7 linked regions of the Coturnix japonica genome follow. The protein of the gene in region 4 interacts with the protein of the main gene of each other region in a biochemical or structural test. Links are inferred from orthologs where the notes say so. Each region holds a gene or a part of one and is shown on either strand. Other genes may lie near its edges.

What was found.
Region 1: the proteins of EGFR (region 4) and tyrosine-protein kinase ZAP-70 form a complex in vitro, tested with the Homo sapiens proteins (2 studies listed by BioGRID and IntAct, with this or other methods). The link is inferred for Coturnix japonica from reciprocal best matches to the Homo sapiens genes EGFR and ZAP70.
Region 2: the proteins of EGFR (region 4) and JUP form a complex in vitro, tested with the Homo sapiens proteins (2 studies listed by BioGRID, with this or other methods). The link is inferred for Coturnix japonica from reciprocal best matches to the Homo sapiens genes EGFR and JUP.
Region 3: the proteins of EGFR (region 4) and RAB31 form a complex in vitro, tested with the Homo sapiens proteins (2 studies listed by BioGRID). The link is inferred for Coturnix japonica from reciprocal best matches to the Homo sapiens genes EGFR and RAB31.
Region 5: of the proteins of EGFR (region 4) and PTPRB, one has a biochemical effect on the other in vitro, tested with the Homo sapiens proteins (2 studies listed by BioGRID and IntAct). The link is inferred for Coturnix japonica from reciprocal best matches to the Homo sapiens genes EGFR and PTPRB.
Region 6: the proteins of EGFR (region 4) and SHC4 form a complex in vitro, tested with the Homo sapiens proteins (2 studies listed by BioGRID). The link is inferred for Coturnix japonica from reciprocal best matches to the Homo sapiens genes EGFR and SHC4.
Region 7: the proteins of EGFR (region 4) and TNS3 form a complex in vitro, tested with the Homo sapiens proteins (2 studies listed by BioGRID). The link is inferred for Coturnix japonica from reciprocal best matches to the Homo sapiens genes EGFR and TNS3.

What each region holds. Positions count from the first base shown.
Region 1 is NC_029543.1:1,090,591-1,094,250, forward strand, and holds part of tyrosine-protein kinase ZAP-70, read left to right. Parts: intron 1-610; coding exon 611-771; intron 772-908; coding exon 909-1,047; intron 1,048-2,207; coding exon 2,208-2,286; intron 2,287-2,554; coding exon 2,555-2,595; intron 2,596-3,344; coding exon 3,345-3,393; intron 3,394-3,660. UniProt on the Homo sapiens protein: Tyrosine kinase that plays an essential role in regulation of the adaptive immune response. Regulates motility, adhesion and cytokine expression of mature T-cells, as well as thymocyte development.
Region 2 is NC_029542.1:4,305,535-4,309,881, forward strand, and holds the start of JUP (junction plakoglobin), read right to left. Parts: upstream 2,824-4,347; 5' UTR 2,726-2,823; intron 1-2,725. Other genes in the region: P3H4 (endoplasmic reticulum protein SC65), read right to left, coding at 4,317-4,327. UniProt on the Homo sapiens protein: Common junctional plaque protein. The membrane-associated plaques are architectural elements in an important strategic position to influence the arrangement and function of both the cytoskeleton and the cells within the tissue.
Region 3 is NC_029517.1:88,716,647-88,721,092, reverse strand, and holds the start of RAB31 (ras-related protein Rab-31), read left to right. Parts: upstream 1-1,610; 5' UTR 1,611-1,776; coding exon 1,777-1,815; intron 1,816-4,446. UniProt on the Homo sapiens protein: The small GTPases Rab are key regulators of intracellular membrane trafficking, from the formation of transport vesicles to their fusion with membranes.
Region 4 is NC_029517.1:73,822,696-73,826,961, reverse strand, and holds the start of EGFR (epidermal growth factor receptor), read right to left. Parts: upstream 2,801-4,266; 5' UTR 2,480-2,800; coding exon 2,362-2,479; intron 1-2,361. UniProt on the Homo sapiens protein: Receptor tyrosine kinase binding ligands of the EGF family and activating several signaling cascades to convert extracellular cues into appropriate cellular responses.
Region 5 is NC_029516.1:32,509,327-32,512,986, reverse strand, and holds part of PTPRB (receptor-type tyrosine-protein phosphatase beta), read left to right. Parts: intron 1-78; coding exon 79-228; intron 229-1,271; coding exon 1,272-1,515; intron 1,516-2,276; coding exon 2,277-2,383; intron 2,384-2,911; coding exon 2,912-3,011; intron 3,012-3,660. UniProt on the Homo sapiens protein: Plays an important role in blood vessel remodeling and angiogenesis. Not necessary for the initial formation of blood vessels, but is essential for their maintenance and remodeling. Can induce dephosphorylation of TEK/TIE2, CDH5/VE-cadherin and KDR/VEGFR-2.
Region 6 is NC_029525.1:9,208,452-9,212,780, reverse strand, and holds the start of SHC4 (SHC-transforming protein 4), read left to right. Parts: upstream 1-1,391; 5' UTR 1,392-1,799; intron 1,800-2,227; 5' UTR 2,228-2,269; coding exon 2,270-2,830; intron 2,831-4,329. UniProt on the Homo sapiens protein: Activates both Ras-dependent and Ras-independent migratory pathways in melanomas. Contributes to the early phases of agrin-induced tyrosine phosphorylation of CHRNB1.
Region 7 is NC_029517.1:73,236,892-73,240,551, forward strand, and holds part of TNS3 (tensin-3), read left to right. Parts: intron 1-667; coding exon 668-1,311; intron 1,312-1,923; coding exon 1,924-2,010; intron 2,011-3,660. UniProt on the Homo sapiens protein: May act as a protein phosphatase and/or a lipid phosphatase. Involved in the dissociation of the integrin-tensin-actin complex. EGF activates TNS4 and down-regulates TNS3 which results in capping the tail of ITGB1.

The sequences.
Region 1 (3,660 bases), on a different chromosome or scaffold from region 4:
TTGTAGTTAGACCCTCATCTGTGCCTCCATAACATCATGATGGAACCAGACTCAGAACTCTTGCTCAGGTTTTCCTTGCTCTTCAAAGTCTTTCTGCAAAAGACCTCTAAAAGTGACCCGTTTTAGACTAGAGATGCTTGTCAAAATGAGAGCTTCAATAAGATTTCTCCATGAAGCTGAACTGTATCTGCTGGTAGATAACACAAAGGACATTGCCACCTACTGGCAAATGAAAACCTGCAGCTCCTCAAAAAGTGTGGAGCTGATAGAACTCATTTACAGCAGCACATATTGATTTCCAGACTGCACTGCCCTTGGTAAGCTGTACTGCACAGGGACAGCAGGCAGCAAAGGAAGGGGTCCTTGTCCCCCAGGAATGCAGAGTTGGAAGGCACCCATGAAGCTGATGTCAGATCCTCCATACGAACATGGTGGCTTCACTCTTATAGGATTATTAAGGTTGAAAAGACCTCTAAGACTGCGCCCAATCTCAACCCACCCCACCATTCCCATGTCCCTCAGTGCCACATCTCCATGACTCCTGAACACCTCCAGGGATGGTGACTTCTCCACTTCCCTAAGCCATGCCTCACTTCTCTCTCTCTTCCAGGGAGATGCCCTTGAACAGGCCATTATAAGCCAGGCCCCACAGGTGGAGAAACTCATTGCCACCACAGCCCATGAGAGGATGCCCTGGTACCATGGTAACATTGCCCGGGATGAAGCTGAGCGGAGGCTTTACTCTGGGGCACAACCTGATGGGAAATTCCTGTGAGTACACAAACCCTGGTAGATGCTGTCAAACCCATCCTACCCACCATTTCCCCTCTTTCCAGTGCCCTCTGGTTATTTGTTTCACATGAGTAAAAAAACCTCGAGTTGCTTTTAATAGTTCTTCTTCCCACCAGGCTGAGAGATAAAAAGGAAAACGGCACTTACGCTCTGTCCCTTGTCTATGGCAAAACAGTTTATCACTATCGGATCGACCAGGACAAGTCTGGCAAGTACTCCATCCCTGAGGGGACCAAGTTCGACACGCTCTGGCAGGTACCGTGCTGGGGGATGATGAGCACTGCTGTCCTAGCAAAGAAAAGGCTAGGACCTTTGCTTTGCTCCCTTGCTATATCTGCCTATGCCTTGGGGATAAGGAAAGGCCATCTGGAGCCTTAAAGACACCAAGAGCTTGGAAGGTCTTTAACATCTTGCACACAGAGACTCGGGAGGCCCATAAGTCTTGAGCCAACTCCCAAAACCTTGACGTGACCGCAGATCCAAGTGCCAGGAGACGCATCCTGTCACCCCCCGGGGGCTGTTTGCAGACAGGAGATGGCTGTGATACCCCACCCATGAGGAGGGAGCTGGGTTTTAGGGGATGTGACAAGTGCCTGAAGCCCAGGTACCACCAACCCTTATCCTGGAATAACACAGCCCAGTGAATCACAGAATAACCTGTGTTGGAAGGGGCTCTTAAAAGATGATTGAGTCCAACTCCTGGGGCTGCTCCAGGAAAGGAATGCACCACTTCTTCCTGGGGAGGGCTGTTTGCAGACTGTAACTGTTTTGCTGGATTTTTTAAATTCCCAGGGCTGTTTTCACTCTGAAACTGAAAGAAAACAAAGACTTCGGGGCATTTTTTTTTTCTTTTTTTTTTTAATGGAAACAGAACTGTGCCAGGTTCCTTATTTGGAATGAAATCTGAGCCATGCAGGAGGAGAAGAGAAAGTCTGGCCCCCTGTGCTGTGGTTGCCAGGGTTGAGGTGGTGGTCTCCAGCTAAAGTGAGACCCCCACTATGTTGGAAGCAGAGGGTGCTGCACTGGAAAAGTACCTGGGATCCAGAAAGTGAATTCTGCAGTTCTTCTGGGAAAAGCCAAAGGTTCCCTTCAGACTTTATCAGACTTACAGTCCCTTCCGGCTGTGGCAACAATTACATTACACAGAGCCTACCCTGCCCTGCTACTAAAGGTTTTCCCTTTGTCTTTCTTTGGGGCTTATCTAACTTCCCAAACTCTTCCCAGCTCTGGCACACACCCAGATACAAATGCTGTAGGAGTTCCCTGAGTGCACAGATAGAAAGAGGGGAAAGAAACAACTGAATCCCTGAGAAAAGCTGAGAGAAATCATTATGATAAACCATGCGTGTTGCCTGCGAAAGAAGAGATGGTTTTCTGTTTGCATTGATCTCTTTCTCCCCTGATTCCTTTATCAGCTGGTGGAATATTTGAAGCTCAAACCGGATGGGTTGATTTTCTACCTGAGGGAAAGCTGCCCCAACCCCAGCATGCCAGGTGAGCTGGTGCCAGTGCCAACCTTGGCCTCGGTCACTTGTCCCAGGTATCACAAGCATCACTTCATGTCCTGTCTGTGGGACTCCTGAGGTCTCCCAAGGGCTGGGAACAGTGCCCATATCCATGCATGTTTCCAAATCCATTCTGGTTAAAGCGGTAGAAAGGGACTTCTGTGTGGGAGGGATTGGATCCTCAAAGGACTGATGCTCTGTTCCTGCATGGGGTGTAAGCAGACTTTCACTAACAACTCCTCTCTTCCAATCCACAGCCTCTGCAGCACCAGCTCCACCAACCCACCCCTCTGTGAGCGTAAGTTGTGGGGAGAGTCTGTTTTGTTGGTACCTCGTTTAGTGGCATTTTGAAAGGATCAGACTGTGCTCTTCTTTAAAAGGCAACAACTCAACTGGAATATATTAAGGCCAGCTGCAATGCTGTCTCCTTTCCAGCTTGGATAGGGACAAGGAATAGCTGGCCATAGCTACCATCAGTGTCAAGAATGGTTTCCATTCACGCTGTGCTCCTTGCAACACATGGGGCTGACCTTGGGGACCCCCCCCCCCTGCCCTCCTCGCTGGTTGGGTTCTGGGAATGCTCAGCCCTACTGCTGGCTGCTGGCCATGGGCCACATCTTTGTGCTCCCTCTGCATCCCCAGCCCCAGGGAACGTCTGTGCTCAGTGTCCAGCTGTGCTGAAACCAGTAAGTTTGGGCTGTGTGAGAGCCCAGCAGAGCCTAAATAAAGGGCTGAGCGTTTACCCAGCTTGTCAAAAAGTTTTCACAATCTGTGGTGGGCTCCTGCAATGACTACTGCAAGCATTACTGGAGCTCAGAGCTGTGCTGGACGAGTTGTACCATATAGCAGTAACAACTCTAAGGCTGCAGAGCTGCACAGGGTCCATGCCAGCCAGGACCAGACCAGCTCAATGCTAAGTCAGTCCTTGTGCCCAGCACTGCATCTTACAGTGGAAACCAGCTCTGCTGGACTACAGAGGTTCCCTGTCCCTCACCTCTCCCATTTCCCCTGGCTGCTTTACCCACTTTATCAATGTTTCTTTTCCAGAAAAACCTTGGGCCTCTCAATGCAGATGGATACACACCGGAGCCTGTAGGTGAGCATCTCTTAATGTCCTTAAGCTGAAGGAGTTGCCATTTGTATTGCTTTCTGGTCAAAAAGCCCTGCTGCAAAGCCTCTTTTCTACAAGGGCACCAGCAAAGTCACGTTCCATTCCCTATCCTCTGCCTACTAAATTCTTGGTATCTTCAGTTTGAATACTGATTCAGCTTGAATACTGGATCCTGCAGGAGAATTGGCCAGGAGGGAGGAGAAAATACAAACAAAGGAGAGAGGGGCAGGGAACAGTACATCATTTACAATT
Region 2 (4,347 bases), on a different chromosome or scaffold from region 4:
ATTGCAGCCTTAGCTGCAGTGCTGCACGACCCCCCCTGTGCATCTCCGCAGCACTGGGGGAATGGGTCAGGTCAGCAGGTGTGGGATATTCAGAGAGCACTGAGCATCCCATGGCAGCCCCAGCACAGCTCAGCGCCCCGAGCCACCAGGAGCTCCGCTCCAGCACAAGGCTCCTGCCCTTTGCATGGAGGGATTTTAGATCCGAGCAATTCAAGCATTATGAAATGCCTCCAGGCCTGTCAGCAGCTGCAGAAAAACCAATCGGGGATGGCAGATTTGGAGAGATATCTCAAGCCTGTCTAATTAGAAACATCTTGCCCCTCACTCCTCCTGTATTCCCCTCACCACCCTTACAAAGCACAGTGCACTGCACACAAGGGGGGAGCATAGACAGCTCTCACCCCATGGAGGCAGGAGGATGCACTGGCCCAGGAGGCTCCTGAGCCCAAAGCCAGCACAGAGTGAGCACACAGTAAGGACAAACCCCAGGATGCACTGAAGGACTGATGTAGCATGGAGGGGAGCGGGGGGAGGAGGGGGTGATGAAGCACACACAGCATTGCCCCCCCCACCACTGGACCCCAAAGCTTTGGGTGCACTGCACCACCCCTGCAGCATGTGGGCCTCGGGAGCACTGAGCAGAGCAGGCAGCAACACGCCAAGCGTGGCATCCAGGGCTGTGCTGGGCCGTCCTTGAGCTGGCAGCACAGGATGCAGCTTTGGAGCACTCTGCAGCTCAGCTCTGGCCAGCAGCACTGTAAGCACAGATGTGTTTTTAAGCTGCTTAGGTCAAGTTTTAAGACTTCTTTGGCAGCCTCTCCCATGCACAGACAGCGTGCCTGCTCCATCCCCAAACACCCAACCCTGTCCCTGGGAAACGGGGTAAACCCAACCCTGGTGGAGCTGGAAATGCTGCATCAGCTCAAGTGCTGCATCCTCCAGGGCTGACTGCGAGCCAGGCGCTGCCAGCAGGGCACAGCCCCGTGGGGGACACCCCAGGTCCCAGGAGACCAACTGGGACCCACAGCTGCCACCCAGACCCCATTTGCTGCCTATCCCAGGCACAGCCCTAAAGCACCGAGGTGGGAAAACACCACCTAAAACAAGAGTCAGAGCTGGCAACTGTGCCACAAGAAGTCCAAGGCAGACTTGCAGTGCTTCAATAGAAATGAAACTTCTTTTTAACTCCTGCTAATTAGAAGCCAGCCTAATTTCAAATTTCAGGAGCAGCATGAGCTGTGGTACAGACACCTCAATTAGAGCCCTGTGAGCTCCCCATGCAGACCCTGTACTGCAGCCCCACAGCGCAGCTCCTCCCTGCGGGCTGCCAACTGCACCCCCCAACCGGCTGGGGGTCTGATGGGGGAACAAGGAAGGATTCCCAGGAGGAGGAGGGCAGCACCCGACCTTCATGTACAGCTCAGAGGCGAAACGCTCCGTGGTCTCCAGGTGTGAACAAACCACGGGCAGTGGTGCCAACGGCACAGCCCACGGGGACCCACATGTGGACGGGGCACGAGGTGCTTCATGCCGGCATCCCCGCTGTCCCCAGGGGAGTGGCTGCAGCACCAGACAATGGAATGGGAGCCATTGTTTGTGGGGGCGGGGGGGGTTGGGGCGGCCTGCAGCCCCCCCCACGCTTCCGCCAGCGCTTCCCCACCGCCGGAGTCGGGCAGCTGCAGCTCAGCCCCCCCCAGCAGCTCCTCATCGCCCAGCGAGCGGCACCAGAACCGGGGATAAAACGACCCCCGGCCACCGCCACCCGGGCTTTGCGCAGGCGCGTCCTGTGCCCACCTGTTAAAGCCGAGTTCGCTGCCAAATGGGTTTTTCAAACCACTTTGTGGAAATCCTCCAAAGCGGTGAACAATTACGGCCTTCGGAGGTGGAAGGACCTTAATGGCTGCTCCGCTCCGCACACTGCCCCGCCGCACGCCCACAAGGACACGGGAGGGGATCCGCGCCCCCCACCGACGGACCAAACTGCGGGTGGGAAGGGGACGGAGCAGGGACAGAGAAGGGACGGAGCAGGGACAGCCCCGGAGCGGGGACAGGGGGGGCCCGGGGATACCAGCACCGGGGAGGGCACGGCAGGACGCGGGGACAGCGCTGAGGTCAGCACGGCTCCGTCCCGGCCCGGGCTGCGCCCCGGGAGCCGCCCACGCTCCCACCGCGTCCCCCCGCGCACAACCCACGCCTTCCTCCGCGGGCAACTCCCAGCAGCGGCCCCGCGTCGTGCTTTAATCTGCGCCGATTAATTAAACTAATCACCCAGCGAACGCAACGAGAACGTGACGACGATACGAGCCGGTCGCTCCCCGCTCAGTTCCGCTGCCCCGACGTTCGGTGTCAGCGCGGCGGGATGAACAGGAGCCGCTTCATTAACCCCCCCGTCCCCGTTCCCCTCCCGCAGCCCGTCCCGCTCCCCGGGGCTGCTCGGGGCAGGTGAGCGGCTCCGCCGGAACAACCACCCGGGGCAGCGCCCAGCGGCAGCACCGGAACCGCACGGGGCCGGTTGGGCCGAACCGAACCGAGCCCGGCGGTGAGCGCAGCCCCGGGGCTGCTCGGGACCGGTCGGACGGGATGAGCGCAGCCGGGCGCGGCGCTGCCCCGGGGGGGGGGGGCGGTAACAGCCCGACACCGCGCGGAGCCCGGAGCCCCTCGATGCCGGGACCCCCCAGCCCAGGCCCCCCCCCCTCGCCCCCCGCCCGCCCCCCCCGTCTCTCACCTCTCCCGGTTCCCGCAGCTCTGCCGCCCGCCCCGCTCCCGCACGAACAAAAGGCGAACGGCGCCCCGCCCCGCCTGGCCCCGCCCCTCACAGCGCTGCCCGCTTGCCATTGGTTCTTCTTCCCGTCCGTCTTCGCCGCTGCTGACCGGGCCCCGCCCCCTCCCCGTGTTTATCCGCTCGCCATTGGCGGGGAGGAGACCGCCCCCCGCGCGCCGGGAGCTGATTGGGCGGCGGGGCGGGGCGGGGGCGGGGCGAGGGCGGGTGGGGAAGGGCGTGAGCGCACCGAGGGCCCACCTGGGTGACGTCACGGGGCGGAGCCGGGAGGGTTCGAACGGGACCGAACCGGGTCGGGACAACGGGGGGAAAATGGAGGGGGGGAAAATGGAGGGGGGTAAATGGAGGGGGGGCGGGGGGCGGCACTGCGGGTCGGAGCGGGGGAGACACGCAGCTGGAGCAGGGCGGGGAGCGGCAGCGCCCATCCCACCCCATCCCATAATATCCCATAATATCCCATAATATCCCATCCCATCCCACCCCTCCCCATCCCATTCTATATCCTATTCTGTCCCCATCCCATTACATCCAATTGTATCCCATCCCATCCCATCCCATCCCATAATATCCCACCCCATCCCGTCCCATCCCGTCCCGTCCCGCCCCATCCCGTCCCTTCCCTCGCCCGCGGCTCACGCCGTGATTCAGCCTCTCGGTTTCAGTCACCGCAGCCAAGTCCCGGCGGAGCCTCGTGCTGCCAACAGCTCGACGGCCGCCAGGCACAAAGCAGCGCCGTGGCTGCACCAGCGGCCGCCCAGCACCCACCGCCCGGCCTGGGGGTCCCGACCCGACCGACCCCCCCCCAGATGGTCTTTCATGGCACTTGTGTCCGTCCCGATTTGCTCCGGGCAGAGGCGGCCGTCAAAAGAGCGGACCGAGTTTTATTCCAAGTTCAGCACCAGAACGTTTAAAATACAAAATAAACGAGCGAAAAATATAAAAGCGAGATGGGAAGTATTAAATTAATGGAGCTTAAAGCTCTGGGGGCTGCTGGGAGAGAGATGAAGGCACTTGTGGGGCAGAGGTGGTGACGGGGTACAGTGGCACAGGGATGCCGTGCACCAGGAGCAGCACCCAGCACCGAGACGGGGGGAAGGGGCGGCTCTGGGAGCTGCCGGTGGGGGTGGGCTGCTGCCAGAACCAGCACCGTGCACAGAACCCATAAGGCAGCACAGGGGTTTGCTGTTGGCCCCCTGGTCAGTGGCTCCTGGGGGAGCAATGAAGGGGCACAGCAAATCTCAGTGCTGCTATGGAGCGCTACTATGGGGCTCCCAGGGACATCGGGGCTGGGGGGGCTCAGGGGGCACCAGGCAGGTGGTGGCACAGTGGTGCGGCTGCTCCTCGGATGGGAATTATGGCAGCATGTCCCTGTAGATGGGGCAGTTCTGCTGGGAGCACTGGGCAGGATCAGCCCTTCCCAGTGAACCCGTGTTCCCGTGCATGGAGCAAGAGCCTGCAGCCTGGAGGCCCCAGAATGGCACCACTCGGCCACCACCATCCTGCTCCGTCAGGGCCAGAGTCCCCTTCTCCTGGCACATCACAGCGTCTCTGCAAACAGAGGGGATGGT
Region 3 (4,446 bases), about 15 Mb from region 4:
TCATTGCAGGGTGGTTGGACTATATGACCTTTAAAGGTCCCTTCCAGCTCAAATGATTCTATAGTTCTATGATTATATTATTTCTGATGCTACTGGAAAACAATGTTACTTCCCAAAAGTTAAACACAGTTGGGTTGAAAGAAGTGAAGCAAACAATTGTTTCTAAACTTATAATTATTACTTGAAAAAGATGCTATAAAAAAAAAAAAGAAATAAAGAAAGAAAGAATGAAAGAAAGAAAAGAAAACCTTTGGGATGCAGAGGCTTGTTTTCATTTGCTTTTAACCAGCCATTTGAAAACATTGAAACATGACCAATACCTCAAAAATGTTTTCCTGACCACAACTCCTTGCATGCAGACAAACACAAGGATGATGCCAGTTCCTGGAAGAAGGAACGTCATTAGCTTTTTTTAAAACTTGAGCACATGTCTGTCTGTATTGTTTTTCTCTCTTCTGACCTCCCTGATTTTGAAGGATCCTCCTTCCTCCCTCTCTTCCTCTCTCCCTCCCCTTTTCTTTCTTTTTTTATTCAACCTCTTTCTCGCTTTCTTTCTCTCTCTTTCTCTCTCTCTCTTTCTTTCCCTGTTTCTTTCTGAAATTAGCCCAGCTAAAACAACATCTAACACATACACACACACACAAAGCCCTAAACTCCCGAATTCCAAGAATTACAAAATCTGTGTCAAAGGAAAGAGACAGATAACCATTAGGATACGTGGGACACAGAAATGGGTCTAAAAAATGATTTTTTTTGCAAAAGATAGCCCTGAATCATTACACTGTATGTAAATTTCAGTCCCTCGGCAGTAGACAAATCTGATTGAAAGTCATAGGGGCAGCATTTAACCCAGGCCTAGAATTGAAAGAAAGGGTGCAGCTGGATGGTATAGAGATTTGGAACTTCCTACCTCCTGTCCATGCATCCTACATTGCTGAAACACACCACTCACCCCCTCATGGAGTTCACATCCGCTGCCTAGTCTCAATAAGCATTCAGCAAGCATCAGTGTATGTCCATAGGTCCAACTGTTTCCTCATGGAGGAATTCAGTTTCACCTCTTTGCATTTCCATGTCAGATGACATCATCCCATACTGTTGGGAAAGTTCAGCCTCTACTGCTGTACCACCAACATCTGCTTGTGATGTCAAGTGCCAAAATAATAAAATAGGAGGCATTACTTTTGGAGCAGCCATTCTAGATAGAATGTTAGAAAGATTCAGGAAGGCTTGCTTGAAAACCTGCTCTGTTTTTCTTCTCTTTACTAAATGCTCCTAAAAAAATTAAGGTTCATTAAACATTGAGAATCAGTGTGATGATTCTCAATGTGATGATGCCCGGGGGAGGTGGTGGGGTCACCATCCTCCAAGGCGTTCAAGAACCGTGTGGATGCGGCACTGAGGGACATGGTCAGTGGGCACAGTGGGGGTGGGCTGATCTCAGAGGACTGATCTTGGCACCAGCTGCAAATTGTTATCCATCATTACTTTCCTGTGTGTGGGATGCAGCCCTGAAGCTGACTGAACCAAAACAGGGCTGGTTAGCACTAGGGCTGTGTAAAAGCAGAGTCGGCCTTTCCCTTCCTTTCCGTGCTCACGAACCCTCAGGCACATCCCGGTAGCGGCCCGCAGCTGAGTCGGCACAGCCCCGGGGCAGCGCCGAGGCGGGGCCGCATGTGACCGCGGCGGGGGCGGCTCGGTGCCGTGCCGCGGCGGGGCAGTGCGGAGCGGCGGCGTTGGGCGCTGGGCGATGCGGAGCGGACGGGCCCCGGGCAGATGATGGCGATACGCGAGCTGAAAGTGTGTCTGCTTGGAGTGAGTAGCGGCGGAGACGGGTCGTCTGCCGTGGGGCTTCCCTCTCCCTCGGCTGGTGGAGGGTGAAAAGGGATAGATTTGCCGCCTCCCTTCCAGCGGGCCCGTCCGGGGGCCGGCGGGCGGTGGGAGCCGAGACGGGCGGCTCGGCGGAGCGAATTCCTCCACTCAACAGCCTCTGGGGGGCGAGGGGGCTTTCCCTTTCTTTAGTTGATACTAATGTTTTTGTTAGTTTTGAACTTCTCTTGAAAAGAGGAAGCTGTTAGGGGGGGCGGGACTTGTCGCCCCCTCCCCACTGCTGGAGACCCCGGCGGGTCCCCGGATCCACCCTTGAGCCGAGCTCCGAGCCCCGTCACCGTGGGGCCGGGGCGGCTGGAGGCGGCGGCCCGACCCCACCGGGACGCTGGCGTGGTGCGAGCCCCTCAGCCCCCTGGTGCTCGGCGCATGCTGAGCTTACGGCTTGGAGTGGGTTTATTTGCAAGCGTCTTTCACTCGGCTGCTTACAGGAGTGTCTTTCTTGCAACTTTTGTCTCGTCTTTCACTTCTTTCTTTTTGTGTGTGTGTGTGCGTTTAACATTTGGAGCAGCAATGTGCTTAGCTGTGCAGTTTGACTCCGCCTGCCCCCGCTCTGCCCTGCACGGATGGAGTTGTGTTGTCCTAGCATGCTGGTGGGGTGACAAGCAGCCCCCTCCCCCTCCAACAGCGGCCAGTTGAGTGCTGTTGTTTGCTTTGGTGGTCGTGGGTTGATGGTTGACTTGCTGATCTAAGTGGTCTTTTCCAAACGGAATGATCCTGTGATCTCCAATATGTGGGATGTGAGTTAGGCAGCTTTCAGTGCCATATCTCCATAAACATTCAGAGAGCTACGTGAGGAAGAAAACTTAGAGTGAATTCTTTCATGCAAAACAACTGAGCTGAAGGTTTAGAAAACAAACTGCTGCCATCCCTCCTGCTTCCTGTGGCTTGTGTTGACCCTTAGTCTGGATGGCATGGGTACTTTACTCTGAGGCTGTGCCAGGGCATGGGGAGTTCAACCCAAAGTGTTTGGCAATGACCATGCCTCCTTTCTTGATGAGAATTCCCCCCTTCAGCTTTTAAAATGGCACGGAGACAAAATAAATGTGGTTTATACAAGCCTGTGGTAGAACATGTAGAACATCATTATTTTTTTTTATCCCCCAGTAGAAAATCCTGTAATTTTATAGAGATGAAGTGTCCTGTGAAATGACATTCCTCTTGCCCACTGCTTGTTGCTGTTTTGTAGGATTGACGTGTATTGGAGGTTTTGCAGGGCAACTGTTTACTTTTTTTAGAGCAAAAGAAAGCTATAATGCAGCTCTGTGTTCCTAGAGTAATTGCATACTCCTATAGATTCATTAAAGTGGCAGTTGAAACCCTCAGGAAGATGTAAGCATCTGTAGTTATATTTGTTTAGTAGATTATGATTAGAGGGGTGTTCCTTCCTGGGTTTTAATAGTGTATAATTCTAGAAAGCTATCTCTTCTAATCCCAAGCGTCTCATTTGCTGTGGAGGTTGATGCTCTAGTTTTCCAAAAGTAAGGAATCCTTCATATGTCAAATCCCTTCATGAGGTTCAGGCTCCCAAAAAGGGGATACTTCCTGTCTGTGTGAACAACTGCAGTCATCAGTCAGCTGATCTACTTCAAATTAGACAGTAACTTAAAATTTGTTTGTGCATTTACTGAGAGGATCCTTAACAGCTGCCTTCTCCATCAGTCCTAGGCCGTATTGTATCTGGTAGTGCCCTTGGTAATCAGTTGAGTCCAACATATCCAAGTCCTAAAATGAGGTTATATTCTCATTAGAAGTTAAGGACTAAGTTGCTTTATAAACCTGTCTTGCTCTCCATTTCTGAACAAAGCAGAGGAGGAGGGTCATTGATTCATTCTGCCCTGGTACCCTATGGTCTGCAGTCGTCAGCTGTGCAGAGAGCCTGGACTTCAGCTATTTCTGCCAGCTCAGCATTCCTGAGGGAGGGGGAGCTTGTAGCTGGCTTAATTTTGGCAAAGGCAGCATCTCCACATACCTCGAAGCCCATCTTGGCTATAGAAGGTGTGACTGAGAGGGTGAGGAGAACAGAGAAACTAGGGCTGTGCTCCATTCTGCTTACTCCTCCTGTCATGCTACAGGACCAACATTTGTCCTGGAGCCATAGCAGCAGAGATACAGAGTAAGTTGATGGCTCTTGGAGGAAGCTCTTCATTGCCTGGGTCACGCTGCAGCACAGAAGAGAAGTTGGCCTGTTGTTTTCAACAAAAATCTATCAAAACTTGGATTTTGGTGTCTGCATTTCACTCGTTCTTCCTCAGAAGTAGCTTGTGTTTTTTAAAACTCTGTGGGTGTGATAGGAGGAATTTAGAGCAGCCTGGGGTTGGACACAAGAAGGAGATAATCCTGAGGTTTACGTAAAGAAAATACTTGCAAGAGAATGATGGAGGGGAATTTTGGGGCAAATGAAGCTGTGTGTGAGTCATTTGGAAGGCTGGCTTTGTTGGTTGTGGAGCTTAGTTATTCCCATGGATCTGGGAAAGCAGTGCACTTTGGGGTGAGGTGGTTTCTGTCTGCTCCTGCGCTGGTAGGAACAGGATGCCATTCTAATGGCTTGGTGCCTCA
Region 4 (4,266 bases):
AGCCAGTACACTGCCCAGTGGGTTAGAGTGCACAGTCCTTTACTCCATTCCACAATGGCTGCAACTACAGATCAAAACTAGATATATAGAGCCAAAAAAGCAACAAGAAATGGTTTGACTAAATGCAATGTCACTAAGCAATGAGAAACAAAATGGACATCAGTCAAATGCATGCTGCAGGAAGTGGCATGCCTGCTGTCAAAGGCACCTAACAGGCCATCCAGCAACTATCAGTGTAAATCCAGATTACTTCCTCTGCTGTTAATCTGGATCAACATTAAAGATGGTGGATTGAGAGAGAGGGAGGTATTGATCCCTGTGACAGTTCAATTTCTAACAATGCTGTTTGGTGCTGCATTAAGCACAGCTACTGGGTTTGTTTGGTTTGTTTTTCATTTTCATGACTGCAGTCATTCAAATAAAAAAGTTTCGTCTCATCCAAATTTGAAAAGATTGTTCTAAACTTCTGGTAAAATATACAGGTGAATTTTAATTTCCATTCAACTATTACATTGCCCATTATAGTTTGATTCTGACATTCTTGTAACAAAAAAGATTTGCCAAGGTAATTTGGGGGGGATAATACAAACTAAAATATTAAGAAGCATAAATGCATTTACTATTTGTACTTCTAGAAGCAACAGAATTTTATCATAAAACATGAGTGTTGCAATGTTTATGGCAGCATATTTGCTTTCAGAACTGTTATAAATTCAGATGCCATGGGGTCCCAAGGAAGTGGGTCTTCACTCATTATTTTATGATTCCCAAATGCCACTTTATTCTGTACCCACCTTTATTTCCTCTCTCATCTTCAAATGCGGAGAAAAACAGATAAAGCTCAAATAATTGATTCATGCTTCTTGAAGAAGTTATTCTGCCTTCCCTCTTCTGTCCCCGGTCCTCCTCACAGGAATGGTTACTCACTAACACAATGCTGACAATGATGCCCATTGGGTTTATCATGTAGCTGTTTTTTATTTAACAATCCTCAAATAAACAGCACCTTCATAATTTTATGAGACACCAGATTAAGCACTTTAAAGAAGGCAACAACATATATACCCTCACATTTTACAGATTCTGCTGGGCATGTGCATCAGGGTGTTCCATTTCAAAGGACTTAAATGCAGCAGACGGAGTCAGCTCTGCTCCCCGTCACTTTCAGTGGATGAGGGGAGACAAGAAAAGAAAAAGATCAGAAACCCAGGAAAGAAGAGCTGCCTACGTTACATCAGCAACAGGTATGAACTTGATTTCTGGAACAAGGGAGCCTCTTCAATGCTTTGAGGTTGTGTAACTAGTTCCTCAGAACAGGCAGCTGCTGCTCCCTTTCAGGACAGTTTTACTGTTCTCAGTTACAAAAACATAGGTTCAGCTGTTTTCAGCTGCAAGCCAGCTCTTCAAAACACTACTAATTCTTTTTTCCCTCTTTTTCTGTAGAAAGAAAACACAACAACAGATCTGCATTTTTTCCCTTGCTGGCAGATCTCCAAGATAAAGAGAACTGTACTCTGCCTGGAACAGCACTCGGGGCCTATTCACAGAAATGATCACCACACATGGAGAAAAAGCGACGGAACTCTCCCAACAAAAACGTTCTCTCACTCCTTAAACCAGTTTTTCAAAAACGTATAAAAAACAAAGCTCCAGAAGCCAACCAGACAGCCTCGCGGGCCGTCCCGCGCCGTTCCCACGCACGGCTGCCGGGCGCTCTCAGCGAGGGTGACAGCGGAGGCATCGGGCCGGGCAGAGAGAAAGAGAGAGAGAGCGAGCACGACCGGAGAACCAGAATCCGCATGAAGTTTCCCGTCCTCCCCGACACACCCTTCTCAGGTGTGTGCACACGTATATGCATGCATTCATCTTTTTGAAGCGGAATGAGCTGAGGTGCCCGGCCCGAGGCGGCGGGACGGCTGAGGCTGCCCTGCGTGTCCCTGCCGTGCTCGGTGCCACCTCCCCGGTGTCGGTAGCAGAGCGGTACTGGGCCGGCGGCCACCATGGGGTGAACCCGGGCAGTGAGGGCGCTCGGGGCGCCGCGGAAAGAGCACGGGGGCGGAGTGGAGGAGAGAGCAGAAAATAAAAGCCTCGGGAGGGGACAAGCACAAGCGATGAGACTCTCAAAGGTTTATTCCCTTTTATTTCCTCCGCCCCCACAAAAGAAAATAAGCTTAGAATCAGGAAGTCATGAGCTGCGCGACTGCTCTGTAGGTCTGTTTTTCCATCTTTCTCTCAGTAGTTTTTTATTTTTTACTTTTTCCCCCCTTTCTTCTAAGGGACGAAGCCAAGACTTTCCCTCCGACTCTCCCCGCAGTACCAAGGGGCACACCCTGTAGCCCCAGCACCCGTACCACCCGTTACCTTTCTTCTCCTCCACGGCGGAACAGAGTGCGACGCGCCCCAGCAGCAGCAGCACCAGGAGAGCGGCCCCGCGGGGCTTGGCGGCGGACAGGGGGTTGAGAACGCCCATGGTGTGCATCGAACGCGACGGGCAAACGGAGCTCCCCGACGAGCTGCTCCTCACTTTGCGCTACTCTGCTCTGCGTTCTACTCCGCTCAGCTCCTGGCTGCCACTCTGCCTCCGAGCAACATGCTGGAGGGCAGCCGTCGAGGGTTGCACGCACACGTTCCTACCCAGCTGCAGAAGGACTGCTGCCTTCTTCCTCCTCCTCTCCTTTCCTACTCCCTCCTCTCCTTCTGTCGCAGGGGCTGCGGAACGGATGGGGCCGGCCAAGGGACTACTCTGCCCAGCTGCGCTCTCCGACCGGCCACGGAGCGCAGGGGCTCCCTCTGGGGACGCCGAGGGGGAGGAGGATGGGGCGGGAGCAAGAAGCGGGGGGAGGAGGAACCAGCGGCGCCTTCCCCGCCCAGGTAGGAATGGAACCGCCTCTACCTGTCCCAGGACAGAAGGAAGCAGCTGTGGGGGAGGGAACAGCTTGGCCTATTCCCCCGCTAGGTTTATGCGAGTGTTGAGGGTATCCCGTTGTCCGCTTCCCGCTGTTTGTTTGCTCGGTAGCTGCCGAAGGCATAAGCAGGCGTTTGCGTCGCCGCTTGTGAAAAGCCCTGTGGCCTTCAGCTCCCCATCCATGTCCCTCCCGTGGGACGCTCTGCAGCAGAAACCCATCCCGTCCCATTATATACAACCCTCGTTTCTGCTGCCTCGGCATCAACAGAGCCCGTGAACAGCCCCATTCCCGTGTGGTCATTTTGGCCACAAAGTCAATAGGATATGAACTACTATGATTTATTGGGAACTCCAGAACTGAATCTCACAATGAAAGGGGCTTGGGAGGTAACACACTAAATGCCTATGCCTATCCCCATGTGCTGATAGCAACACATGGGGATATCATAGATACATTACGTAGACAGTAAAACAGCTGCTGGGTGTATTCTGCCTTACATCAGTGATTCATGCCTTCTGAGAGATTCTTTGATAGTTATTTATATTGATTTATATTGATTCACTGATTTTATACTACCCATCAGATTCCTCTGCACATTTTTTTCCCTGATAGTTTAACAAGTTACTGTGCTAATTAGGCAAAGAAAAGTGAAACACCATTTACTTACATTAGCACAAGTTAGATGCTCCAACACATACCATATCGTGCCTCTAATTGTTTATTTTTAAGATGAGCCTTTGGATGCTGTAACTGGTATGCTCTTTTCCTTATACACTGTAAATAATACACAATAAATACGTCAAAGTAAACTCAGAAATAAGTAACATCCATACAGCACTGCTCCTCTGATTGTTTCTGTTCCTTTAACAGAGGCAGAATCTGATCCTGCAACAAAATATCCATTTAATTCAGTTTGCTTCAATGCTGTTTACACAGTGCAACCACAAAAACATTATGTGCATATAACACATTTTCATTTATTTTGACAAATATGAAGGTTTTAAAAAATGAGAAGCCCAGGAAAAAATCAGCTTTTAGAGAGGGGAGATTTGCAAAGTAATTTCAATGTACACTAATGGTTGCAGCTTGCATTATGAGAGAGGAAGAGCAATAAAGACACCAAGGAAATTAACCTCAAATCAGTTCTACAGGTAAATGCTAAATAAGAACAGATACCTCTAGGCACATCGAGATGAATTAGTATTTTGATAATCTACAAGAAAGTAAGGATTTGGCATGACAGTTAAAAAATGAGGTAAGCACAGGAAAATGGAAACATCTTTTGCACAAGAATTCAGTGGAGAAACTTGGCAAAGTCCTGTCCAAACTCATTTCAGAACAAACACTTGCACTGTAGAAT
Region 5 (3,660 bases), on a different chromosome or scaffold from region 4:
GCTAGGTATAGCTCACAGCAAATACATAGATAACTCTTTTCCTTGTTTTTTCTTTACTTTTTTTGTTTCATTTCTCAGGTCCCCCTCAGCCACCTCCAGACATACGAGTAAACAAGAAAGAGGTGCTGATTACCAAATCCTCCATTAACTTTACTTTTAACTGCAGCTGGTTTAGTGATACTAATGGAGCTGTGAAGTACTTTACTGTGGTTGTCAGAGAGGCTGATGGTAAGTATCATTTAATACCGTTCTCTCTATAGCCTGTATGATTTACATGCAGATGTACACCCCTATCACTACACAGCAAAGTAACTTCTTATATAGTTGCTGACTTTCACTGAAAGTTTATGGCTCCTTAGCCTGGAATTTTAAGCATTCAGTCCTCCTCTCAGAAGGTAAGTAGCATCTGCAGATCCTAGCCAGAAGCGGTAGTTAGTTAGGTTCTGTGCTCTAGGAGATGCTCTCATGTAAGATCAGAAAGTTTCCACAGCAGAAGACTTACGTTGGTTGACAGATGCCATTGATGGAGGACATAGAATAGCCTGCCTTGCTCTGCACAGATCTCAAAAAGTAGTTCAGTTGTAAGGGGGAACACTAAGACAGCTTTTGGAAAACCCCAGTAAGCCATGCAGAGAAGGAAAAAGTAACATGATTCAGGTAGAGTTTGCTTACTGAAGAATATGACTTTACATGCAGAACAGAGCAGAAATTGTCCTTGCAGTATGTACGTAAGCCTCCTTTTCTGTAGTTGACCTATATGTGGCAATGCAGATTGATGTCTTGACAGTTAATACAGGCTTTAGAAGCAGCTTCATGTGTCAGTATGCTGGTATTTTATGATTCTTGATAAAGTTTCTTAAGATCTCTGTCTGTTCTATGATTCTGTGATCAGCCCTCAGGTTAAAAAAAAAAAAAAAGAAAAAAAGAGGAAATATTTCCACTGTCTACTTGGTTGTGCTTGAGCAGTTTATAGAGCTCTCATAGAAAGGGACTGACTACTCATTGCCAGTCTTTGGCCTACTTAAGTTTTATGCATGCTATTGCTAGTTCTCTTTCAGCAGACTTCTGTCATTTCCTATGTATTTTTTCTCTGCATACAGTAGACCACTCTTGTCAATTTGTGGGATATTTTTTAACTTGCCTTCCCTCCAGGAAAGCCTCAGAAGTTGGATAATAAGGATTTGGTCCATCAACACCCTGAATTTCTAATACTGCATTGTGTTAATGGCTGTGATATGTAAACCTTCTGTCTTTCTCTGCACATGATGTAGGCAGTGAAGGACCAAAACCCGACGAGCAACACCCATTACCTTCTTACCTGGAGTACAAACACAATGACTCCATACGCATCTACCAGACCAATTATTTTGCTAGTAGATGTGCTGAAAACCCTGACAGCGACTATAAAAGCTTTGACATTAAGCTTGGAGGAGAAATGGAAAATCTGGGAGGAAAGTGTGATCCAGATCAGCAAAAATTCTGCGATGGACCCTTGAAGCCTCGGACTGCTTATAGGTGAGATTAATGTTGGTAATTGTGCTCTGTCACATTATTAGGCACAGTGCTGAGTGTCTGACACACTTGAGCTTCTGAAGATAAATAACTGGGCCGTATAATGTTCCTTGTGTTTCATGGCATAATTTATAAAAGCTTTATCCATGCTCCATTCCATGGATAGAAACGATATTTTCATTAGCATGGGAATGATACCAATAGTTACATATAGTGTGTTTGTTTATCTCCTTTTGGTCAAGACCTTTCCTATAGTTAGTAAATCCCTCTTTAGAAACACTAAGTCATCTAAGTCAGAAGATTACATAACAAGAGAAGGCAAGAACGCTGCATAGAATTTATTTGTCACTATGTACTCACACAAGTCCTTTGGGACAAAGTAGAAAATTGCGCAGGTTGTTGTAATCCATGGCACAGTCCAGAGGCTCCAGAGCTAAGACTGGGTGAGCTGTAGGATATAGAAGAGCACTACTGCCAAGACCAAGCAGTTGGACAGGCTATGAAAACAAATGTGAACTCCAGTGCATCTCAGTCTCACCCTTCTTTCAGGCAAACACTCTGCCAAAAGATCTGCATGATGCTTACCAGACAGTGACATGTACAGAAGGCACATGCCAGGCAGTCTGTTGTCAATGGAAAGTCTTTAATCATCTCTAAGAGACGGGTCATTTCTTATCTGAATCTCTTATTTTTCCACAGTTGACTCTGAACATCTGATAAACTTAACTAGTAACTGTAAACTGAACTGGGTATTTTTTTTTTAGGATCAGTATACGGGCTTTTACCCAGCTCTTCAGTGAAGACCCAAAGGAACTTCCTCAACCACTCTTTGCAGACACCTTCTTCTCTTTACCAATCACTACGGAGGCAGGTTAGTTTCAAGCTTGCTTTTCAGTCATTGTAGCAAGTGATTATACATTGCAACTCAAAACGCTCTGGTATCCAGAACTGCTTGCAAGGATTTGTCATGCAGTGTCCTGAAGTCTGCTTTGAAATAATGCGGAAGCCATGGCTTATCCATGGCCCTTATTTGCCATGGATAGGCCATGAAATTGAAAATTAAAAGGTCTGCTTGGTAGAGCTGCTGACAGCAGAGAAAAAGGTGAATGCTCAGTGATGCTGTTGTCAAGAAAGCTTTGACATACCAGAAAGCTGAATTCCTACATGATGGAGCTGTGCTTTCTTTTGCTGTGGTTGGGAATGAAAAGTTTTGCATAACATTTAGAAAAAATTAGGACAGAAAACCAAGGCCTAGTTTAGTTGTTCAGACACTTTGAATTTCCTTTAATTTAACCATTTCCTCTAGCTAATAGTAGTAACATATTCTCTGGGCACTGGTGATTTTTTGATTCTTCATGTCTTTTCTTCAAAATGTGTAAAAACACTGTTTTGTTTCTAGAGCCTCTCTTTGGAGTTATTGAAGGTGTGAGTGCTGGTTTGTTTCTCATTGTGATGGTAGTGGCTGTTACTGCTTTGTTTGTCTGCAGACAGAAAGTTAGGTAAGTAGAGTCCTTTTATCAGCCTCTGTTATGAGATCAGGTTAAACTATTTTGATATAAGAAATGCAGTGAAAGAATATCTGTACACACTAACTATAAAATGAATGACTTAATAAATATTGAGAGCTGAATATATTCTTTATAGGAGATTGAAATATCCACTGATGTTAGCAAGAATCATCTCATAAAGGATCCCTGCAACTTCTTGTTTTCAGTAGGAGTCTGAATGTTTCTGAAAAAAATGGCTTAATATGCAAACTCAGTATCTTGTGTAAAAAAAATGAAATATTTCTAACCATTTTATATGGGAAGTTCTTGGAACTGTTCGTTTAGACTTTGTTATTTCAGTTCAAAAACGTCATGGAATTTTAGCATGACACTACTTCTGTGTCCATAATATCAGTTCAAGCTTTTCAGTTTCCTGTTGATTATTGTTGTGTATTTCACTTCAGAGATGAATTTTAAATAGCAAATTTTGAATACATTTTTAAAAAGCAAAATATTGTCTCAACTTTGAAAAATGCTTTATCTGTTGAAACCATTTTGCATGATTGAAAGAGATGCAACGTTACTGGTAGGAAATAGGATGCTGTAAGGTGAAATAATACAAAAGATGGCAATAATACAAGAAGGATGGTGATAGATATCC
Region 6 (4,329 bases), on a different chromosome or scaffold from region 4:
AAACACTCCTTAGCTGCCATATCCATGTGACAGGAGCTGATGTTCCCTGTGTGCTGGAGTACAGATACTGAGCCCCCTGATGCTATAAAAGCACGATCATTTCCAACTTCCTTTCGCGCTGGCTGTAGTTCTGTGCTGCTGAAACCTGTTCGTAGGGAGGGGAATTCTGCAGGGATGGAGCTTGCAGCTATTTTGGGCTCAGCTGAGCTTTGCCTTTGCTTCCCTCCTGCAGCAGGGCTGGAGCCAGGCTGTGGCTGCTGCCTTTAGAGCACTATGGGACACAGAGAAGCACACACTGCAGGGGCTGCCTGCAGCTTCCCACACCCAGCTGTAAGCAGTGCTGGGCTCCTTTCTGCCTGCAGCCATGCGTGTCAAGGGGGATGTGTGCAGTGTGAGCTCGGTGCACGTCTGCATGAATTAACACCGCTGCTGCTATTTATGTGGGGTGGGGGGAATCCTCCATTTGCTCCATATGTTCCGAGGGAGGCACAGAGCTCTACTGTGCAGGCCCAGCTCAGAAGTAGCGCTGAGCTGCTGCCTTCAAGCCCCGTGAGAGGGTGCGGGGCAGCTCCCACACGGGGCAGCACCGTGGGAGGGGGTCAGAAAGCAGCAGGCACCTGGAGGCCCTCAGTACTGCGGGCAGCCAGACCAAGCATGAGCAGCACCCACGGCTTCGTGTGGGCCTCACACAAAGCAGAGGCCCGTTTTCTGCAGGCTCGGTTGTGCCGGTGCTTAAAGGCGCTTTGTTCTTGGGGCGGCTGGAGGTTGGATTCCCAGCATCTTCAGCAGAAATCTTGTTTGTAGCCCCGAGAAAAGACTTTTTAATAGACAAAGGCATTTTTCTTTTGCCCTCCACCCCCTCCCTGGCTAATGTTCCTCGGACAATGCCGCTCTTTGCTGGTTCTGTTCTCATGCTTGTATGTGTGTCCTACTGCTGGAAAAGCACGGCCCTCGCTGCAAACCCCTCGCACGCCGCAGTCAGCAGCTGGAGCCCCGAGAGCTGTGCGGTGCAGCGCCCGGGATACGGCTCCGGGGCTATTGGTATCATTCTCTATTCCTTCCAAACGTGCCCAGAAGGGGCGGCCTTCCAACCCCATCACCGGCCTCGGGGCAGCCCCGTCCGGAGGCTCTCGGCCATCAGGTCAGAGCTGCAGGTGCAGCGCCGCTCCGCCACGAGCCCCGCGGCTGCGAACAGCGCAGGGAGCAGCGCAACGCCTCCCTCCGAGCCGTGCACCGCCTCCGTTCGGTACAACGACGCCTCCGTTCCACGCGCCGCGTGAGACGCGGGATCCCGGCGCGCGCTCCCGCCCCGCGCTCCCCCCATTGACTCGCGCGCTGATGGCGCGTGTTTCGGCGGCGGGCTGTGATTGGCTGCCGGGATCACCCCGGGTGCCGCCGGGCCGCGGCCACCCGCCGAGCGCCATTCACGGCTCTGGCCGCCTGCACGCGCACAGCCTCATTCATAAAAAAAATAACTAACTTCATTCATAAAAGCGGCGGCGGCGGCGCCCCGGGCTCGGCGTGGCGGGAGCGGCTCGGGCGGTGCTGACCCGCACGACGAGGGTGGTACGAATGTACCGGGCACCGCACGGACCGCGGAACGGAGCTGAGGGATTCCGGAGCGAGAATTGGCAGCCCCGAGGCTGAGAGCTGCTGCGGGACGGGAGGGCTCGGCTTAACGCGTGTGCGGGCACGAGCGGTGCGGAGCGGGGCTGAGCTGCCGCTGCTTCCCCGTGGGGGCAGCTGAGGATGAAGGCGCCGAGAGCCGCGCACCTGGAGGGAATCGGGATGATCTGGAGGTGCGGCTGAGCGCGGGGCTCGGCTGCTGGGCTCTGCACTGCTGTGTGTGCTCTGCTCTGCTGTGTGTGCTCTGCTCTGCTGTATGTGCTCTGCTCTGCTCTGCTGTGTGTGCTCTGCTGTGCTGGGCTCTGCACGGATCGCTCTCGGTCTGTCGCTGCGGCCAGGAGCGCGGTGCTGACATCCCGGCTGTGAGCGGCCGGTGCGCGGCCCCGAGGGCTGGGGGGGGACACGGTCTCGGGTGGCATTTCTGGGCGTGGGCTGCTGCCGCCCGTGGGTCTGCACGGGGGACGCCGGCCGGCCGTGGGCTGGAAGCCTCCCGCACCGAGGAAAATACGCTGCTCGGGAGGGAATCGGCAGAAATCTCTGTCAGGTTTCTGTTTTTAACGGTGTTTGACTTGCCTGCTTTCCGTCTGATTTATCCACAAAGGCGATTTGTGCCCGAGGCTCCGGTTACCGAACTGCAAGGGCTATGAGAGAGCGCGGCCCGCAGAGCCTCGGTGCACACGTCCTGTACGTGGGGCTGCTCCGACACCCGGGGATGCTGCACAGGGCCAAGTACAGCCGCTTCAGGAACGACTCCGTAACGTCTCTGGACGAAGGGCCGCAAAACATCAAAGGTTCCTCCTCTTCCTCCCACCCTTCAGCTCCCAGCCTGCTGGCCGAGGACGTCCCGCTGGGCCCGCAGGACACCTGCACCACGCTGTGCGCGCTGATCCCGCGCATGGCCAACATTAAACTCGCCAACCCCTCCGCTCTGCCCAGCCTGAAGAGCTTCTGCCTGGGGAGCAAGGAGGTGCCGAGGACCAAACTGACTGAGTGCGTCACCGTCCCTGGCGGTCCCTCCTCACCTGAGCTCGGCTGCCTTTCGGCCTCGTACCCTCAACCCGGCCCAGAAGGAGCACACCTGACTCCAAGGCCCACGGGTGGCTGCACAGGGAGAGGAGCAGCGGAGGTGGTGGGCAGGCTGGGAGGGAGCCTCGTGCCCGGCGGGGAGAGCGCGGAGGAGTCGGGCACAGCCTACAGTGTGCGGGTGAGTAGTGAGCGTGGGGAGCGGGTACCGGCACAGGGGGCTGCAGCCTGTACTGCCACCTCTGCAGCCCCTGGTCACCGACTTACCCTGTGTATCTGCTGTTTAATGACGGATGTAGGGCTGTGTTGGGGGCCCGAGGGAGTTAAAAGGAGCACAGCTATCCTCAGAGGTAGACAACATCAATTGCCACAGAGTCTGTCCTTAGGCTCTTGGAAGAGCACAGCTGAGCTGCACTGCAAATGAGGTCACTCTGAAATGTGTGTTGGAGTGGAAGGACTATGGCAAGGTCCCATTCCTCCTAGCAGCTCTGGTGCCAGGCAGGTGCTGGCTCACACTGTGACGTCTCTCAGTGCTGGGCCCAGCACTGGCCTTGCAGCCCCTTCTGCATAGTGCAGGGTGCTGAGGCTGCCTTCCACTTGTGCTGCTGGGCTGCACCCACTGCTCTGGGCACAGAGAGCACTGTCTGTACCTCCAGAAGACACCCAACCACAGCTTCTCTGGGTGTTTCTCACACTGTGTTGTCACTGTTGGTGCTGGCTGAGGGGTCCGTGCTGCTGGGTGGGTCCCTGGGCTCAGGGCTTTGTTTTTTCCACCCAAATCGTGCTCAGGAGATTTCTTGTTTTCCATTTTTCCTCTCTGGATGTTTTACTTTTGTGCCCAGACCTTGCCAGTTGGAAAGCCAATGGCAATTGCTTCCTTGTCCGTGTGCTGAACCTCTGACCGTGCACATCAGAGGGGAGAAGAACAAAATGGGGCCGTGGCTGTGCCCACCCTTCCCAAGCAGGTTGGCTACTGTGGGTGAGGTCTTTGGCTGTGGGAGCTGTGGGATGGGCATGGAAGTCAGAGTGCAATCATCTGCATTTGTCTTGTAAAAGGCAGCAGTAGGAGGGAGCTGGTACTAGGTGGGTTTCTCTGAGCTACCCTCGTGCCTGTGCTCTTTTGCTTGTCTTCCTGCAAGGCCCAGTGCTGATGTGGGCCCTTGTTACTTTGGCATCAGTGGTGGCTGACCGGGGTGATGGGGATGCAGGTGGTACATAGCATGACAGCACAGTGCCTGCAGGGGCTCCTAGTGCTGGTGTGCGGTGTGCTGGTGTTGTGGTGTCATGGTGCGTGGCCTGTGGCACCTGCCTGTTGTATGGTGCAAGTCACAGCCAAGGCTCTGAGGTCCCTGCAGGGATGTGGACGCCCCCTGATAGGGGAATTTCCCAGGTCCTGTATGGGCCCATGGGCAGAAGCAGCCAAGTGTTACCTGCTGGGAGCCACGCTGACCAGAAAGGAGAAGCAAAACCAAGGCCCAGCGTTACGGGAAGGTCCAGAGAAGTGGTGAAGGGGCTGCCCCCTTCTGCTGCTCCCCAGGTTGATGTTCCAGGGCATTTTCCTGCCATGGAGGTCAGGCTGTTTCACAAGGAAGCGTCTTTGAAGGGGTGACTGGCAGGGGCCTCCCAGCACAACAAGGAGATGTCCTCCTACAGCTCTGCTGCTGTAGGAGCCCCAGGGCG
Region 7 (3,660 bases), about 590 kb from region 4:
CCCTACTCTCTCCTCCCCCTTCTCCACTCCCTTTCTCTACCTGGCTTTCCTACCCCCCTTTTTCCATGTCTCAGCTCCTTTCTCCTTTTTATTAAATTAACATAAGAGATACTGCATGTAAGAAGTGTTGTAGCAGTGTCAGTCTTATTCCATAAATCTGTCTTTGATGACAGATGGCTTAAGAAATTCTTGCCTCCGACTGCTCTTTTTTCAGCCAGCACTGTAGATCACCATAGATCTCCAGGACCTCTGTGAAGCAATGTTTTGAACAGTCTAATTGAATTAATTCACACTAAAAATAATGCTCTCAAATAGGAGGAAAGAGGAGTGTTTTTAACAATGATTAATTTGATGGCCTGACTTACAGTGCAAACTCAGAAACTCTGTCATCGCCATGGCTGGATTGAGGGTGAGATGAGACAGAAAGTAATGAACTGCATTCAGGAGTGAGTATTCAGGATGGGGCCGGAGTCCCTGGTTCGAACTTTATGACCAGGTCCTGCATGTTATCGAACATGTCAGTTATTGTCTTGAGTGAGTGAGTGCTTTCAGTAATGACCAGAGGATACACTGTCTAGTGACATTTATAGAAAATGATTTGCCTGTTTTATTTTTGTGTTCAATTTTTGTCTCTCTTTTTTTTTTTTTTTTTTTTTTTTTTTGACAGCCCCCTTGCGGCAGAACATTCTTGGACTGAAAACAGCCCTAAATCTTCCAAATTGTTCCAGCTTTCAATAGGAAGCAACAGGCCAACAGGAAGTTATCATGTGCCTTCTGAATTTTCAAACTCTGTGCAAGATGGTTCTCTTTTGTCTCATTTCCAAACCCCAGGGCTGCAAGCTGTCACCCTGAGCAACCTGGAGAAATCACCAGCAGAGCAACAGCATGAACCTGCTGTCAGTAACAGTGCTCAGCCTTACCGAAGCTACAATGGGGCCAATGTGGGCATTAGTTCCCCCCAAGAGGAGAAAGAAGCTACTTTTATAGCCAACACTAGCATCTCTTCTAAAACCATGAGCTCACCTGTAGAAAGTGCAGAAGATGAAGGCTTTTTGGCCCAAAATTTTCTTGCAATGACTTCTGGACATATTAGTCAGAACAATGCAGTCCATCCGTGCCTTGGAGGGAACCTACATTCTCAACCACCTCTTCCAGAGAAAAAGAGGTCCTCTGAAGGGGACCGTTCCTTCATCTCCATCTCACCTTCTTCAAGTGGTTTCTCAAGCCCCCACAGTGGAAGCACAATCAGTATCCCCTTCCCAAGTGTTCTTCCAGATTTCTCAAACACTTTAAACACTTCTCTGGTGCCAGGTAGGTTCTGCATCAGAGATATGCATAACATATCAGAATTGTATGAGTTTATCTCTCAGTAAGGAGGGATTTTAAATGAAAAGGAGCTAAAAAGCAGTGGAAGGAAAATGGAGGGCTTGATTTACAGTAAGAGGCACTGGTTCACTATTTTGTATGCACTGTTCTGAAGACTATGGTGCAGAATTGTTACTTCTGTCCTTATCTGTCAGCCCACCTTTGGAGCTGTGAAATCACAAACAAGCAGTATCTAGTCCAACCTCTCCTAATAATGGATGGTTTATTTCTTCATCTTTGCTAGACTTGTGCCAAGAGTAGTTAAAAATAATGATACGTGTATATGCTTTTACTAAGAATATAACTTTGTTATAACTTTATAAACTTAAGAGTTTTCAATATCTTACAGGTTTTGTAAAATTAAACTTTAAGAGAGCTTTTAGAATGTTAATGTAGGTTATTATACATTTTGGTTCTAAAATAATTGAGATTTTTTTCTCTGTTGTCTAATCATTAGATTTTAGAACAATTAATGTGATTGGAAGCTAGGAAGAAAAGGAAAAATACTTCCATACTTAGAAAATTTGTTGACTTCTTTTTACCCTTTTTATTTCACAGAGAACACAACAGAGAAACAAGTGACTGTAAAATTTGTCCAGGACACTTCCAAGTTTTGGTATAAACCAGTTATCTCAAGAGAACAAGGTATATCAGCTGAGGTATATTCTGGGGTATATGTTTACTAGTAAGCTAGTTGGTGTATGCTTATTAACTTTTTATTTCAGACTACTGGGTGTATAGGGTAATTATAAGAACAATTACAGAATGTATAAGGGCAGAAGACAATTTCAATTTATTTAGTCTGAAAGCTGAATTTGAGAGTGAAGGGCATTCAAGTATTCCTGAGAAAATGTTGAGTTAGTCATATAAATAATTATCCTAACTTAACTAACCACAGAGTAACTTAGAACTTCCTCTGGTAGCTGCTGCAAAAGTACTTCAATGAAAAAATAGTTTCTGTTGTTTCCTCACAGCAATGGAAGTCATTTTAAGGTCCGTGTCAGGGGATGGGCTGAACAGCTCAGTGGGGAAGAGCTGCTGTCATGATAACATGGGGCAGGGAGTCACCACAGGTGGGGCTGTGCTGGGCCACATACAGCCTGCAGGCTACAGCTTGGACATTCCTCTACAAACAAAAGTTTTATGACAATCGAGTTTGAATCAGTGCTTCATTAGATGACCCTTTTGTCTTTTTTTTTAAGTGAGGTTATGAATTTTGCTATTAGATTTTAGAGTCTGTAGCAGATGCATGACAAACCAGAGCAGTTTTCCTACAAGTTTTTCCTCCTGAGGAGGACTTCATATCTTATTTCTAGCAGAGATCACAGAATGTAAACACAAAGTATTTCAGTGCTTGGACAGTCAAAGAGCAAATACCCAGTTACATCACCTCTCTCTCTTCAAAACAAGAAAAAGAGTGAGAGAACTTTGAAGGGACAGAAATTTGATGGTGAGTGAGAACTGGTAGCCTCTGACTTAAAGCTGCATAGAAAATGAAAGCAGTGCTGCCTGTTCAGTCTGGGAATTAGGGAACTGTTCGTCTCTGTGCTTCTAGCAAGTTGATAACATGTAAATAGGGATCAGTTTGCCCTTTCTGTATAAAAGGAAACAATGTATAGTAGGAAGACTTGAGAAGAGGGCCACCTTTCCTTTGTCTGGGTTGTTTGTGAGCATGCAAGTTAGGTATAATGATAGCCAATGTGCAATCATTCTGCTGCATTTACTTTGATGGTAACTGAAATAGGAAAGAAAGAAGGGGACAAAACAATATTTAATCTTTCATCTTTTGGCACATTTCCCAATTATAAGCATTAAAAGTGGTTTTTGTGTGTTTGGATTTGATTTGATTTGATTTGATTTGGGTTTACTTCTCTCAAGGGAAGATGATAGTCTTTCATGAACTTAAGCCTAACCTTTAGTTGAAGCTTACATCGGCACTGTCAGCTTGAAGCTGTCTCTACATTGCCAGGAAGTTTGTATCAGTATCAGCTATGGTCATGAACATCAGATACTAACCTAGGTCATTGCTGCAGCAATAGTTAACTGTTTTTGCACAGTATTCTTGATAAATGAAAAAGCATGCAACAAATGAAAAGGCATGTGACAACCTCTGTCTTTATTGAGAGGTTCCAGCTACTATAGTTGTCATTCAAAGATGCAAATGTTTCCAACTACTTGCATGTAGGCACTTGACCTGAGGTACAAATCTACACTGTTGTGTGAAAATCAACAGATTATCAGTTGCAGCCTAGTGGGCAGTAGAGATTTGTTGTCTGCTCTGTGTATCAGGAGTTT